Nothobranchius furzeri: one gene and its partners. The protein of the gene in region 1 interacts with the protein of each later gene in a pairwise test. Links are inferred from orthologs where the notes say so. Each region holds a gene or a part of one and is shown in the gene's direction. Other genes may lie near its edges.

Evidence for each region.
Region 2: the proteins of zbtb8a (region 1) and zbtb48 interact in binary tests that used the Homo sapiens proteins (3 or more experiments, as listed by UniProt). The two-hybrid records come from large-scale screens. The link is inferred for Nothobranchius furzeri from reciprocal best matches to the Homo sapiens genes ZBTB8A and ZBTB48.
Region 3: the proteins of zbtb8a (region 1) and znf276 interact in binary tests that used the Homo sapiens proteins (3 or more experiments, as listed by UniProt). The two-hybrid records come from large-scale screens. The link is inferred for Nothobranchius furzeri from reciprocal best matches to the Homo sapiens genes ZBTB8A and ZNF276.

The regions. Positions count from the first base shown.
Region 1 is NC_091758.1:35,822,574-35,827,398, reverse strand, and holds the end of zbtb8a (zinc finger and BTB domain-containing protein 8A), read left to right. Parts: intron 1-1,161; coding exon 1,162-1,224; intron 1,225-1,471; coding exon 1,472-2,346; intron 2,347-2,477; coding exon 2,478-2,647; intron 2,648-2,873; coding exon 2,874-3,191; 3' UTR 3,192-3,706; downstream 3,707-4,825. Other genes in the region: hmgcl (hydroxymethylglutaryl-CoA lyase, mitochondrial), read left to right, coding at 4,599-4,694. UniProt on the Homo sapiens protein: May be involved in transcriptional regulation.
Region 2 is NC_091755.1:39,585,950-39,590,757, reverse strand, and holds part of zbtb48 (telomere zinc finger-associated protein), read left to right. Parts: intron 1-1,683; coding exon 1,684-1,976; intron 1,977-2,051; coding exon 2,052-2,157; intron 2,158-2,236; coding exon 2,237-2,329; intron 2,330-2,402; coding exon 2,403-2,489; intron 2,490-2,559; coding exon 2,560-2,714; intron 2,715-4,673; coding exon 4,674-4,808. UniProt on the Homo sapiens protein: Plays a critical role in transcriptional regulation and chromatin remodeling. Acts as a regulator of telomere length. Directly binds the telomeric double-stranded 5'-TTAGGG-3' repeat.
Region 3 is NC_091744.1:86,422,077-86,427,370, reverse strand, and holds the start of znf276 (zinc finger protein 276), read left to right. Parts: upstream 1-1,570; 5' UTR 1,571-1,708; intron 1,709-2,320; 5' UTR 2,321-2,375; coding exon 2,376-2,628; intron 2,629-4,700; coding exon 4,701-5,013; intron 5,014-5,103; coding exon 5,104-5,150; intron 5,151-5,245; coding exon 5,246-5,294. Other genes in the region: vps9d1 (VPS9 domain-containing protein 1), read right to left, coding at 1-68, 1,022-1,114. UniProt on the Homo sapiens protein: May be involved in transcriptional regulation.

The DNA.
Region 1 (4,825 bases):
TCTCTCAGCCTCTCCAGTAGCAGGTGATGGTCAACAGTGTCAAAGGCTGCAGTCAGGTCCAACAGGACCAGAACAGAACAGAACAGTCCCCTGCATCACTGTGAGTCAGAAGGTCATTAGAGACCCTAAGAAGAGCTGTTTCAGTAGAATGAGCTCTACGGAAACCTGACTGGAAGCTATCATAGATGTTCTGTTCATCAAGAGCAGCTGTGAGTTGTTTAGCCACTGTCACATTCTGCTCCTGCCTCCCTGACTGTGTCTCTCCCCTGCCGTTTATTAGTCCCTACTGGTTTCACCTGCCCAGGTGTTCCTGATTTGCCCCTGTGTATTTATACCTCCCTTCTTGTATCAGTCTTGGTCAGATCATTGTTTGTTGTCAGCGTTGTTTTTGTTCTGTCGTTCCCGCTCTGCCATTAAAACTACTTTTATTTCATCCGTGCCTGCATTCCTGCCTCCTGATCTGCTCCACCACACGTGGTCTGCCGTCATCCACACCCTCAACATGACAGCCACAGCCTTTTCCAAGATCTTGGAGATGAACGGAAGTTTAGAGATGGGTCTGAAGCTGCTACGGAGAGAGGGGCCCAGACTCGGTTTTTTAAGAAGCGGGTGGATTACAGCGTTCTTATAGTAAGCAGGGACCTGACCGGAAACCAGAGAAGCATTAATTACAGAGAGCACGCTGGGACCGATGGACTGAAAAGCACTTTTAAACAAAGATGAGGGTAAGATGTGGAGGGGGCATGCAGAGCATGCCCCCTCCACATCTTACCCTCATCTTTGTTTAAAAGGCTCAGGAACCCTTTGCAGCTCTGGATTCATCAGCTGACTTTAAGTCTGGAATATTGAATCTTTTCCCAACATTCTGACTGAGATTTAGAATGTGGGGTTTTCATCAGCTGTAAGCCGTAATCATCACAGTTAAAACAAATAAAGGCTCAAACATCTGGATTTGCACAGACTGAGTCTGGCTCATGGATTAGTTTAACATTTTTTAGTCGAAATACTGAAATAATAAGCGTTTGCGCGGTATTCTCATTTTTCAAGTTTCATCTGCAAGAGTCACCGTGACAACAGATGTGTGATTTCCTTTCCCTTCTGCTGACTTTGTGATGTTCGTGAGTCAAAACTGAGCCTAAATTTTTTCCATCTGAACTCCAGCAGACATTTTCATCCCGCCAGACGGACGCAGGCGTGCCCGTGTTCCAGTAAGGACCTAGATGAGTGAGTTTGCTGTAGAGGAATGTGTCCAATCTCATAAATGCACTTTAGGAAAAATAAAAAAGAGACATCCCAGAATAATTGAAGTTGTTGTAACTGCGAAGGGTGTCCCAGTCCGTGCCCGTGTAAACATTCCGATTCTTTTTAGTGCAAATTTAAACTTTAGCTTGAAGGTCTCAGTTTAATTAATGAGCATCCACAGGACCCCTGTAGTCTGATGCAGTAACGAGCTGTATGCTGTCTCCTGCAGGCAGCCTCAGAGGTGGTTCAACACGGCTGACATCACCGCGTCTCACCAAAGCAGCCTGCTTAAGCAGCTCAACCAGCAGCGCCGCCAGGAGCTCTTCTGTGACTGCAGCGTGCTCGTGGAGGGCCAGCACTTCAGGGCACACCGTAACGTCTTGTTCGCCAGCAGCGGCTACTTCCGCATGCTGCTGTCCCAGGGGTCCGACGGGCTGCCCGACACCGCCAGCGCCACCTTCGACGTCTTCAGCCCAGAGACTTTTACCGTCATCCTAGATTTCATCTACACGGGCCAGCTGGACCTGTCCAGTCACAACGTGATTGAGGTGATGTCTGCAGCCAGCTACTTGCAGATGAACAGCGTCATCAGCTACTGCAAGAACTTCATCAAGTCCTCTTTGGACATCAGTGTGAAAGAAGAAGACAGCGATCGGTGCCTCAGCTTGTCTGAGACATGTTCGTTCACGAGTGGAGCAGGAGAAGAGTCCACGGAGCACCAGCAGCAAGGTCCCCGCTCCGTCAGCCCACCGCCTGCACTCTGGACCCGCGACAGCTCCAGATCCCAGTCTGGCTTTTTTGGAAAAGACTCAGAGCAGGACGCTTCCTCCTTAGCCTTGAAGACGGATCCAAGCAGCCCTGTTAACGAAATTAGCGCAGAGGTAGACGACCTGCAGGACCCCCAGGACCCACTGTACACATTACCAGGATCAGAGCGCCGGCGTGGAAGAGGAGGAGCCAAGCGGAAAGTGTCTAACAGCAGTCGCTCCAGCCAGCACGAGGATCTGGACATTCAGGAGGCGCGGACTCGAAAGGCTGAAAAGGCAGAGGAGCTTTATGCCACTCTACCGCCCATCGTCGGTGTTATTAGTCACTTTAATAAAGGTGCGTCTAGCTGTGTATGACCCAAATAGCGCGTTTAGCTTTTAGCAATGTGATAAAGCAACATTTTCTCATGAAACAGGCTTGGCAGAAGAAAAAATATATACAGATATCTCAAACTCTTTCTTTTGTAGATTCTAATCCAATCATGCGCTTCAAGTGCCCCTTCTGCACACACACGGTGAAGAGGAAGGCCGACCTGAAGCGCCACCTGCGCTGCCACACTGGGGAGAGGCCGTATCCGTGTCAGGCCTGCAACAAGCGCTTCACTCGCCTGGAGCATCTCCGCAGCCACTTTGAGACGGTGAGTCTTGTCACAGCTGGGAGGCAGCACCTATTTTAGTTTGTTTATGGAGCCTCCAGTTGACACAAACGCTCAGGATGATTCATACCTGCTACTGAAAAAGGAAAACAGTGGTTTAAACGTGTTTCTGAAACGTTGCCATGTCCAAAGACCAGAACCAGCATCTGAGTTGATTTCTAGCTTCATTTATTCATAAACATTGTTAAACTAGTTTGCTTTCCCACAGATCCATCAGGCCAGGAAGCTGGTGTGCAGGAAGTGCAAGTGTCAGGTGACAGAAGAGACTGGACATGTGGTTTGTGAGGGAACACGCCGTTACCGCATGTGCACCGCCTGCATCCAGGAAGTGGGCTGCGACGACGTCCCCATGGACGGTCTGCAGACGTCCAATGACGAGCCGGCCCTGCTGCTAGGCGTGGACGGCGAGGAGGAGGGGGACGCTAAAAGAACCTGGATGGTAAACGATGACGATGACCTGGCTGAAGACTCGGGAGCAGATCTCATCATCCAGCAGGTGGACGACAGCGACGAGGAGCTGCAGTGAAGTTGGATCAAAATGTGTGCAGATAAAAAGCCATGCTAGAGAATTTATGGACAAACTGAAGCCCACACCTGTATATACACACACCTGTGATGTGTTAGACATCAACTAGTTAAATTCAACTATTATTTTATTTAGCTGAGATTGTGGTGCAGGTGGAAAGTTATTCGTTGATCTTCTGGAAGATATACGGTATCCAAAGCATGCATATAATCAATGTTTCAGTTGTTTCAGTTGTAGTTATATGATAACTCTTATGAACTCTTTTGAATCTTTATATGCACGACCAAACGTCACAACTTTGGTGGATTTTTTGGACCATTTTTTGGCATTAAAGCCAACATTAATCACTCAGAAATGATGGCAGTCGTCCCAGAGAAGGGAAAGTTTATTTTTCAGTGTTTGTCTGCAGTTTAACCAGTGCTTGTGATATGCACTATGTTATGAACAACTATTTATTTATTTGACTTCTTTGTTTTATTTTATTTTTCACTCATTAAAGATATTTTTATACCGTTGTTTTGTGTGTGTGTGTGTGTGTGTGTGTGTGTGTATTAGAGATTTAAAACTTGGAGGGTCCAAACTAAAGAAAAATGTTCCATTCTGGATTACAATACCTGATTATTTATTTTAAACAGTGTGTAATCTAAAGTAGATACAATTTCTAAAAATGTTTAAAACCTTCCAAAAATATACTTTTAAATCCCTGCACCATCATGAGGTGGTGCTTATTTGGTAGTACACGCCAAAGAGCATTTAAATACCCCCAAAGCTGTTGTTTATTACACTTAAGTATAAAGAAGAATGTTTTATTGAAGAAAAATGACCTGGAAAATGCAGAGCTGGGCCCTAATACTTTATTTTCATATAGGATGTAACAACACGAGGTTTGATCAGGCTTATATTTAGGTTAGTAAAGTTTATTCATAATGCCTTTCCCAGGGAAAAAAACAAAGTGCTTAGTGAATACTATCAAAAACACAAAAAACAAAAATAAATTAAATAAATATACAATTATATTATTACGCACACACACATTATATATAAATATTTATATACATATATATATGTGTGTGTGTGTGTGTGTGTGTGTGATTATTATAATTAAATATTCAATAAATCATTTTTTGTGTATTTGATAGTATTCACTAAGCACTTTGTGTGTTTTATTCCTGGTAAGGGCATTATGATTATATATATATATATATATCTATATATATATATATATAGATATATATATATATAATATTTAGTAACATAACATTTATTTGTGCTCTATTCATCCTCTGAGCATTTCATTCAGTGTGTTTATTTGACCAGTAGATGGCGCGCATGCGCTACTTCAACACAAAACTCTTAATTTCGCTCGCGGCGAGGTGACGTCAGAGCCGAGGCAGGACCGCAGGAGTGATGGCCGCTGCTATGAGGCTGGTAAACAAGAAGATTTTCACACCAGGAATGGGGCAGCACTACCTGGCGTTCACCACTGCTGCCCAAGTGTATTCGGTGAGTCCTAATTTTCCGACTTCATTCGTTCATGTTTTAGACTTGACGTCCAGAGGTGACGGCTAAGCTAGTTATCGATGTTTGTTAGCTTGTTTTCTTTGGAACCCTCTGTAGCTCAGGTGTCAAACTTC
Region 2 (4,808 bases), on another chromosome or scaffold:
CTAACCCCGATGGTTTAAGACTCTCTCTGAGATAACGTAGAAGTTTAGCTCGGCAGTGGTTTGTTCAAGGTTAACTTTCTATGTGCAGTCAGCCTTAGGGATGTAGGAAAACATCGATAAGCGGATACTCGCCACATTCCTGTAATGACCCTGAATCGAGATTTAAAAGCAGCGTATTGGTTTTTAATGAAGAATTTACAGACTAACGTTTACTGTGTTTTTTTATGTGGTGCAGTTCAAACTCCCACAGCTAGGTGGCAGCAGTTTTTACCCTCTTCCTTTCTGATGGAACAATGAGATCTAGCGATAGCACGGGATGTGCCTTGGAAGTGTCTGGCTTGGGGTTTTCTAATCAAATCCAGTCATAAAAAAGGATTTTAGCATCACGTTAAATCGTATCGTCTCCCCAGCACGGTGATTCGTATCGTATCGTCTCCCCAGCACGGTGATTCATATCGTATCGTCTCCCCAGCACGGTGATTCGTATCGTATCGTCTCCCCAGCACGGTGATTCGTATCGTATCGTCTCCCCAGCACGGTGATTCGTATCGTATCGTCTCCCCAGCACGGTGATTCGTATCGTATCGTCTCTCCAGCACGGTGATTCGTATCGTATCGTCTCCCCAGCACGGTGATTCGTATCGTATCGTCTCCCCAGCACGGTGATTCGTATCGTATCGTCTCCCCAGCACGGTGATTCGTATCGTATCGTCTCCCCAGCACGGTGATTCGTATCGTATCCTCTCCCCAGCACGGTGATTCGTATCGTATCCTCTCCCCAGCACGGTGATTCGTATCGTATCCTCTCCCCAGCACGGTGATTCGTATCGTATCCTCTCCCCAGCACGGTGATTCGTATCGTATCGTCTCCCCAGCACGGTGATTCGTATCGTATCGTCTCCCCAGCACGGTGATTCGTATCGTATCGTCTCCCCAGCACGGTGATTCGTATCGTATCGTCTCCCCAGCACGGTGATTCGTATCGTATCGTCTCCCCAGCACGGTGATTCGTATCGTATCGTCTCCCCAGCACGGTGATTCGTATCGTATCGTCTCCCCAGCACGGTGATTCGTATCGTATCGTCTCCCCAGCACGGTGATTCGTATCGTATCGTCTCCCCAGCACGGTGATTCATATCGTATCGTCTCCCCAGCACGGTGATTCGTGCCGTATCGTCTCCCCAGCACCAGCACGGTGATTCGTATCGTATCGTCTCCCCAGCACGGTGATTCGTATCGTATCGTCTCCCCAGCACGGTGATTCGTATCGTATCGTCTCCCCAGCACGGTGATTCGTATCGTATCGTCTCCCCAGCACGGTGATTCGTATCGTATCGTCTCCCCAGCACGGTGATTCATATCGTATCGTCTCCCCAGCACGGTGATTCGTGCCGTATCGTCTCCCCAGCACAGTGATTCGTATCGTATCGTCTCCCCAGCACGGTGATTCGTATCGTATCGTCTCCCCAGCACGGTGATTCATATCGTATCGTCTCCCCAGCACGGTGATTCGTATCGTATCGTCTCCCCAGCACAGTGATTCGTATCGTATCGTCTCCCCAGCACGGTGATTCGTATCGTATCGTCAGGTCTGTGCCGGTACACGCCTGTCTTTCTGTGTCTCTCGGGTGAAACAGCTGAGCCTTTTTCAATTCCCCAGCCCTAACCTCGTTCTGTTTGCAGGAAACCGAGGTGATGGCCGATGTCCGTCAGGCACCAGGTGAGCCAGCAGCAGAGGAGCAGGAGGATGAAGGTGCAGGTGACCTGGAGGGTGCAGCTGATGACACGGATGAGGAGTATTTCCTCATTGCTGAGAGCAGTCCCACCTCTGCGTCCACGCCGGCGACACAGAAATGCAAGACTCCGAATAAAACAAATGATAAGAACGCTGCTGCTGCAGAGGACAAAGACCCAGTCGCGTGTCCCATCTGCAACAAGTCCTTCAAGAGCAAATACTACCTGAAGGTCCACAACAGGTACAGAGTTTGTCCGTCCGTGTCCCGGAGGTCTCCGTAGAGAGAGAGCAGCCACTGACGTTTTGTGTCCCGCAGGCGGCACACAGGAGAGAAACCCTTTGGGTGCCTCAAGTGTGGGAAGAGGTACTTCAGAAAGGAGAATCTGCTCGTCCACGAGAGCAGAGACTGCAGTAGAGGGCTGGTGAGTGGCGACAGATCAGTGAGGGGGTCTGCCCTTGTTTTCCAGGGAGAACTTAGTGTTTGTGCTGCTGTGATTCCAGACGTACGCCTGCTCAACCTGCTCCTCCAGCTTTAACACAAAGGAGGAGCTGCGGGTGCATGTCGTAACCCACACGGGACAAATGCCACACCAGGTGAACGTCCCTCCCAGTCCACACGACTGATCAAATGGGTTCTTGCAAATACAGTTTTGTCTTCTTCTCTTAGTGCTTAATGTGTAACGAGCAGTTTATGTACAAGAAGAAGCTGACGACGCACATGATGAAGGTCCACGGCCATCCCAAACCACATGTAGTGAGTACCCAGACGTGTGCTCCCCGTTTAAAGGCTGGAAAGGTGTCTTATTCGCAGTCCTGTCAAATAGTGTCCTCAGTGTCCTAAAACCTTCCTGACGCGGACAGAGCTACGCGTGCACGAAGCAGCCAAGCATCGAGGGGAAAAGCCGTTTGTGTGTGAGGAGTGTGGCCATCGAGCATCGAGTAGAAACGGTCTTCAGATGCACATCAAAGCCATTCACAGGTTCGTTTGTCACTAGGGATGCACTGATGCTGGTATCGATATCAGTAAAAGTTAACCGACACCAGTGCAGCTGCTTGAAAATGGCTTCACTGTAACTCGTCATTTCTGTTCACCAAATATTTTAGTTTTGTGATCATTTCTATTCATATATTTAACTTTTTATCTACCTCACAGTCTTTTCCTGTTGAAAGCAGAGAAGAAAATAAAATCTGTAATCCAAATCATTGCATTTTTTTGTGTGGTAGAAGTATCGGTATCGGCAATCGGGATCGGCGAGCATTCAGATCCAAGTATCGGTATCGTATCGGTTTGGGAAAAAGCGGTGTCATTGCATCCCTATTTGTCACTTATGAAAATAAAACTTTAAATCAAACCTGACCTGACATCTTCAAGCGGCCCTTAAAAGTACCAGGAAGCATTAAACAAGGACACAGCTAGTGATGGGACTTGAGTCGATGTCTGCCGGTATGTGGTAGGAATATTTTCCACATCACCGCTGAGTCCTGGGATCATGTGATCAGCAGTCTGATCCCAGAGAGCGATGATCTTCAGCTGAGAGAAGATGTCAGGTGGTCTGGGCATCAGGCAGGACTTTCTGGATGAGGAATATTTGAATTTTGTTCATCTGGATTATCGTTAAAAGTAACAAACACTCTGAGCATCTTTTCAAAATAAGTGTAGTAATCTAGTTACTAATGAGTGCTCTGATGATTACAGCTTAAACACTTTAATTGTAAAATATTTCTGCACGCATATTTTCTCAAAAACATTGAAAATAGAAACCAATAAACTTCACTTGACAGGTCATTAAACTTTAATGAGTCAGAAAAGGGTAGAATGCCTTCTCCGGGTCAGGGATGAGGTCCTGCCTCAAGTGGAGGAGTTTAAGCATCTCGGGGTCTTGTTCACGAGTGAGGGAACACTGGAGCGTGAGATCGATAGGCGAGTTGGTGCTGCATCTGCAGTGATGCGGGCGTTGTACCGGTCTGTCGTGGTGAAGAGAGAGTTGAGCTGGAAAGCCAGGCTCTCAATTTACTGGTGGATCTACGTTCCTACCCTCACCTATGGTCACGAGCTTTGGGTCGTGACCGAAAGAACGAGATCGCGGATACAAGCGGCCGAAATGAGTTTTCTCCGCAGGGTGGCTGGGCTCTCCCTTAGAGATAGGGTGAGAAGCTCGGTCATCCGGGAGGGGCTCGGAGTAGACCGGCGGTACGTGGCTCACAAAGAAAGACCCTATTGAGTGCCGCTGGTTTAAGGTCTCAAATGTGTAAAATTGAATTTTATATTTCCCTATTTTTTAGTTGGGATGGACAATTCCATCGGTATCGGCCGATGTTAGTCATTTTTTAACATATCGGTATCGGTTCGATAAATAAAACCGGGCCGATGTTAACAATTGATATTTTTTCCATCTCGTCTCCGTTTGTTTGCCTGTTTCAGAGGGGGGTGGGGGTGGGGTGTCATTGATTAGTCGTGTGAACAGTGAATGAAATCATCTCAGAACCGTAAATGCGTGTGTGTGTACATAACGTAAATTCAGCTTTAATAATTTTCATTCTATACAAAATCTGCTGATTTTAGAAGCATTAATGTCAGTAGATCGATACCGGCAAATATCGGTTATCGGCCATAACAGTGATCTTAATATCGGTATCGGCCAAAAATTTTCATATCGGTGCATCACTACTTTTTAGTCATCTTGCCAGAACTCGTTTGATTGTCAGACCCTGAATGTTGAATTAATGAGAAACAAACTCTGGTGGCTTTGATCAGAATTAACAGATTAATTTGATTTATTATTGTGATCACATCATCAAGGCTAATTTTAGCTGTTTTCTGTCTAAATCTGTAAAAAAACAAAAGGTGATTTAATCTGTGAGAACAAAACTAATCAACAGTTTGCTCCGGTCACCGTCTGAATCCTGCTTTGACCCGCGTTCTTGTTCTGCTCCACAGGAACGAGCGGCCTTTCGTTTGTACCACATGTGGCCACGCCTTCTCCCAGAAAAACAACCTGAACTTGCACCTGCGTGTGCACAGCGGCGAGAGGCCGTATCAGTGTCACCTCTGTGGGAAAACCTTCAGGACACA
Region 3 (5,294 bases), on another chromosome or scaffold:
TGCGCTTCTTCCTCCAGAAGTGCTTGTGAAATGTAGTTGATGGTCCGCAGGTATTCAAAGTAAGCTTCCTGCAGAGAGATCATCATCAGGTAAATAACTAGGGTCAACAATATTAATTATTACTGAAGCTGGATTATGGTGACGTGAATTACAGACATGCATCTTCTTCTCACTCTGAATACAGTCTAAAATGGTGTTTTGAGATTTATTACATATTTTAAATTGCTTTCACATCATTGTCTGCAATTTGATCCAGCTGACTCTTCTGGCTTGTCTTGTAAAATAAAATAAAGCACTGGTATATTTACATTTATGAAGCTATGTGAGCCAAAAAATATGTGAATCCACCTTATTTTCTACATTTTTAGTCATTTTAGTTCTCCGTGCAAACTAGTTAGATGATTTCAGACGCTATTAGCTGACCTGCAGCAGTTTAACTGCCTCATTATTATAATTATTGTTGTTGTTGTCCACACTGGAAGAAGTTTCATGTTGTCTGAAAATCTCAGTAAAAGCTCACCAGTGATAGATCACGACAGATAGCTAGTAAGATTTTTAAAAAAGCCAATAAGTCTAAAATGAATAATTGAAGCTAATTAACACTTATGTGCTAACAGATGTTCGATTTTTCTTTCAAACATAAATAATTCAAATAAAATAGAGCTGAGATATCCCGCAGGTATAGACAATACTACTGGTGTTAACAATAATATCGTTATAAAAGTGTTTTACTGCACTAACTAGTGAAGTCCAATCAGTATTTGTTGTTTATAGAAATGTATACCAGTATTAAAACTTAATTAACCAAACCAGTCTCGTTGATTCAGAATACATATAAAATAATTTAAAAAAAAAACGTAAGCAGATGGAATAATTATGAGCAGCAGGCTCCAAGCAGGTTTACTGGGTTTACGGAAATTTCAGCTCAATTTTAGCCTCCGTCCCTTTGGTCTGTTTACATTTCTACTCTTTTCTGTCCGGTGGAAACAAAAAGCTCAACATCACGTTCCTGCTGATCTACCTTATGTTTGTTGTCTCCGTCCAGTTGAATGGCTGTTTTTGCCATTTTCATGGCATTTTGAAGAGGTTTCACGCCGCTGTCAGTTGTAGCCATGGTGGTGTTTGGGATGCTTTTTTTTTGCCTTCTTCTTCTTCAAAAAATTGTCTTCTTCGTTGTTTGCACTCAAGAACAAATAAACACCGCCCCCTGCTGTTCATTGTCTTCACATGACACTCTTCCCCTAACTTTGGCTAATCAAGAGCAAATATTTGAAATTCACATGACTTGTTATTCATAATGAGAGGACTAAACAACCCCCCCAAAAATATAGAGATTACATCCTTTAACATAACTTTTAAAAATGGTAAATAAACGTGTTGGAGAAGAGTGCTTTGTTTGTGAACACACGAGACGAGTTAGAAAAAACACATGAGTCATATGTTCACCATAATCTAATAGAATACAATTAGCCACAAATCACTCTTTTGCGACTCATCTATTTTGAGTCACAGGATTGTGACGCTCCTTGTCCGGTAGGGGGCGCAGTGTCATATTTCCTTTGTTTTATTTCGGTAGCACTTCCGGGTTCTAATGTTTACATCTGGTCGCAGCTTGTTAGCCACGGAGTTTTCTTTATTGTAAAAAGGAACTCTGTTGTTATCGCAAAAGAAAATGTGTTCCGAGTGTTAGGATCTGTGCACACTCACGGTATGCTCTGCCTAAAGGCGACATTAACTTTATTATAAATGCTCGTGACTAACTGAAACTGCGCATACTGACTCAAGCTAACCAGCTAACGTCAGGTTTTGTGATACAACGCTAGAAAAATTTGTTGTAAAGTTAAATGTACCAAACGTCTTTGTGTGTTTTTTAAATGTCCATGAAGCTCATTATTTCTATTATAGAACGTTTTTCATAACAAGACTAACGCGAATGCGACTTAAAAATGATCAACTTTACAAAATACCGATATTAAATTGTCTTTCTATTTATCTGCCTGTAGAAAAAATGTGTAGTTTCTCCTCTCTGTTCTTACACTGCAAATTAGAAACGTGTAAAAATAATACACATTTTAAGGATTTTAAAAAATATAGATAATGCACCATTTTAGAATAATCAATCACATTTAACTGATTTTATGAAAGTTTTGGTCAATATTAGTTTCCTCCAGTCAAGAGATTTTTTGCAAAACACTTCTCAGAATTTTATTCATTCATTCATTCTTTGGTTTGTTGCTTTCTTTGAGATCAGATTGTGCTGACATACACACAGAAGGCCAGTGGAACAAATAGAAGTTTGTTTTCGTATGTTTTTCCACAGTGGCACAGGCAGCAGAGCACACCTCACAGGATCAGCTGCTGACACACAATAAACGATGAGGAAGAAAATCAGGCGTCTAAAAACATCAGAGATTTCACGTCTGGCCAGTCGGATCCAAACAGCAGCAGATGTGAGTGAGGACAAAAAGCTGTCTGGCAACAGAGGAAAACCCTGTAAGGCCATTTCTTCAACCACCTACAGCTTTTGTGTTGACGGTATAGAAACGGACAAGGCCGCTGCCTCAGACCTCAACATGAAAAGTGCAAACGATATGCAGAAAGAGCAAGAGAGCAAGACCAGACCTTCAGGTGAGTATACTACTTTTAAGTAGTTCATAGCTGGAAATGCAAGAAGGCCGTAGCATCAGTGCCTTGGTCAAGGGTCAAAGGCTAACACCTATAAAAACCTCATTGCTGTGTTTCCGAGTGTTACCTTGTGTCTATGGTCTGAGTGCAGGTGCTAAAACTCATTGATGGGGTTGTTTGAACTTGAACAATTTCGATTCCAATTCCTTGTTTCAATTCTAGTTCCTAGTGATTCTCGATTCTTTCAAGCGGCTAATAACTTTACATGTTTTAAATGAGCCAGTTAACTGTAGGTCTTACTTGATGAAATGGCCCTGAACATCTCCATTACATTTAGTTTTATTAACTTTCGAAAGTGAAGCCACACTTTAGAACATGGTAACGCAAACACTCCTGGTGGAGTCCTCGTTGTTGGCATTCAATCCAATCCAATTTTATTTATAGAGCGATTTCACAAGGCATTACAACCAAACAAGGCGCTGTACACTAAAAATGTTAGTTAATTAAACCGGCGTTATACAAACATGCCGAACACAGATAAAGATAAAAAGGAAATACAACAAAATTCCCAAAAATAACAGCTAAAAATCAATAAGACACAGGGTGAATAAAAAAATTAGAAAAACATTTTAAAAAGAACCTCAATAGTACGGAAGTCGATAATTGTGGAGTCCATTTTTAAACAGTGCAGATGTAAGTGATGGTCATAATTATGTTGTATAAGCTAGGTTGAAGTAGTGAGTTTTCAGGCATGATTTAAAAATGCTAGCTGTTGGTGCTTGCCTCACTAGCAGTGGTAATGCGTTCCACAGCTTGGGTGCACAGACAAAGCCCTCTCTCCACGGCTTTTTAAACGTGCCTTCGGAACAGCTAGGAGGAGCTTATCTTCAGACCTGAGAGCACGCGGCGGGTTGTAGTAATGGACAAGTTCACACAGATATGGAGGAGCTTGATGGTTCAAGGATTTGTAAGTCAGAAGCATAATTTTGAAGTTTATCCTGAACTGCACGGGCAACCAGTGGAGAGATTTCAGAATTAGAGAAATGTGTTGTCTTCTGTCAGCTCCAGTCAGCAACCTAGCTGCTGAATTCTGGACCAGCTGAAGTCTAGAAAGAGCTGCTTTACTGATGCCGTATAAGCAGTATATTCAGTGACTTCTTGCTGTTGGCGGACTGAAAAACGAAACTACATATCAGAATAGAAAATTTGAACAATTCCAGGAAAAACTGAAAATTGGTCCTGATTACAATCAATGCTCGATGCCCTACCCTACTTGTTGAACAGCGGATGTGATTAATCGTTGGAGATGTTATCCCAGCCCCTCCTGCTGTGCTTCTATTAGCATACCTGCCCACAACTGGTTCAGCAAGTTCAGCTCTCTCTGTGGGAGGGTACACGAGGTAACAGGGTACAAGGCAATCTCAGTGAAAGCTTCATAAAACATCTCCATCTTCGGCTTGTTAATTAGAAAATGAGATGACTTGTTGTGAATTAGCGCTATATTAATGAACTGAATAGTTACCTTTAATACTTTAATCACTTTTGTGAATCGCCTGCACCAACGGCTTAATTACTTATTCACAAGGATGCAGTCATGTATTTAATTATTGAGATATGCGATTGTTTGTTTTGCACTATCCTGCATGGTACTACTGTAGATCATTTTTTAATGTATATTGTATATCATATTTCTATTTCACCTGTTCCTTTGTCACTCCGACTGCTTTGAGCGTGTACATGACACAAGAATTTCCCTCGGGATAAATAAAGTTGTTCTTATCTTATCTTAATAGTGCAGCCTTTGGTGGCCTCTCTTACACATTTTGGCATCGTAGTTTAAAATGCAGCCTGGAGTCGATCCCTGTAAATACCTTTAGGAGTCTGCCAGTTCCTTAACTTCTCCTTTTCTGCCTTGTGTATTTGTTTGTATCCTGTAGTACTTTGTACTTTTTCTTAAGTTCATTTTTTATGCTCACAACTGGAGTATTTAGTCTCAGGTTTTTCGTAATTAATGAAATTATTTGTATTGTGATTGGTACTCGGAGGAACCAGGATGTACTTTTGCCTCTTCACAGGCAGACTGTCCACTGCTGTCTGCCGGCTTTGCCACGGAAAGTTCTCCCCACGCAGCCTTCGGCACGCCTTCAACAGATGGCCTCAGGATTCTCTGGAAATGGTTGACGAGTCAGACGCCACGTCCCAGCCTCCTCTTTTGTTTCACACAGATTTCCAGAGGTTGGTTGGGGTCCAACTGGACCGTGACCCCCGACTTTCAGAGTTTATCTGTAAAAAATGCTTTGCAAAGTTCTACAAGTGCCACAATATCCTGATCAGGTTCCTGCAGAGGGTCAACCTCCCTCCTGTTGGAAAGGAGAACCTGCAAAGTCGGTGAGTTGTGGGGGGAAATGCAGCTGAGGGCTTATTTAAAAGTCAGAGTTTATTTAAATGTAAAACCAAGTAATTTCTTTTACTTTTTAGGAAGAATTCAAAGTGTCAAGAGTCTTCATTAATTCACAGCTCCGGATGTAAATAAGATCAGAATTTTCAAAAACATCTTTTTGTCTTTTTCGGCACAAAAATTTCTCTTTCTTAATGTATTTTTGTTTGACTTTTTTTTTAGCACCATCGTCCATTACATCTGATCCTAAGTGCCTCCACAGTCTGGTATC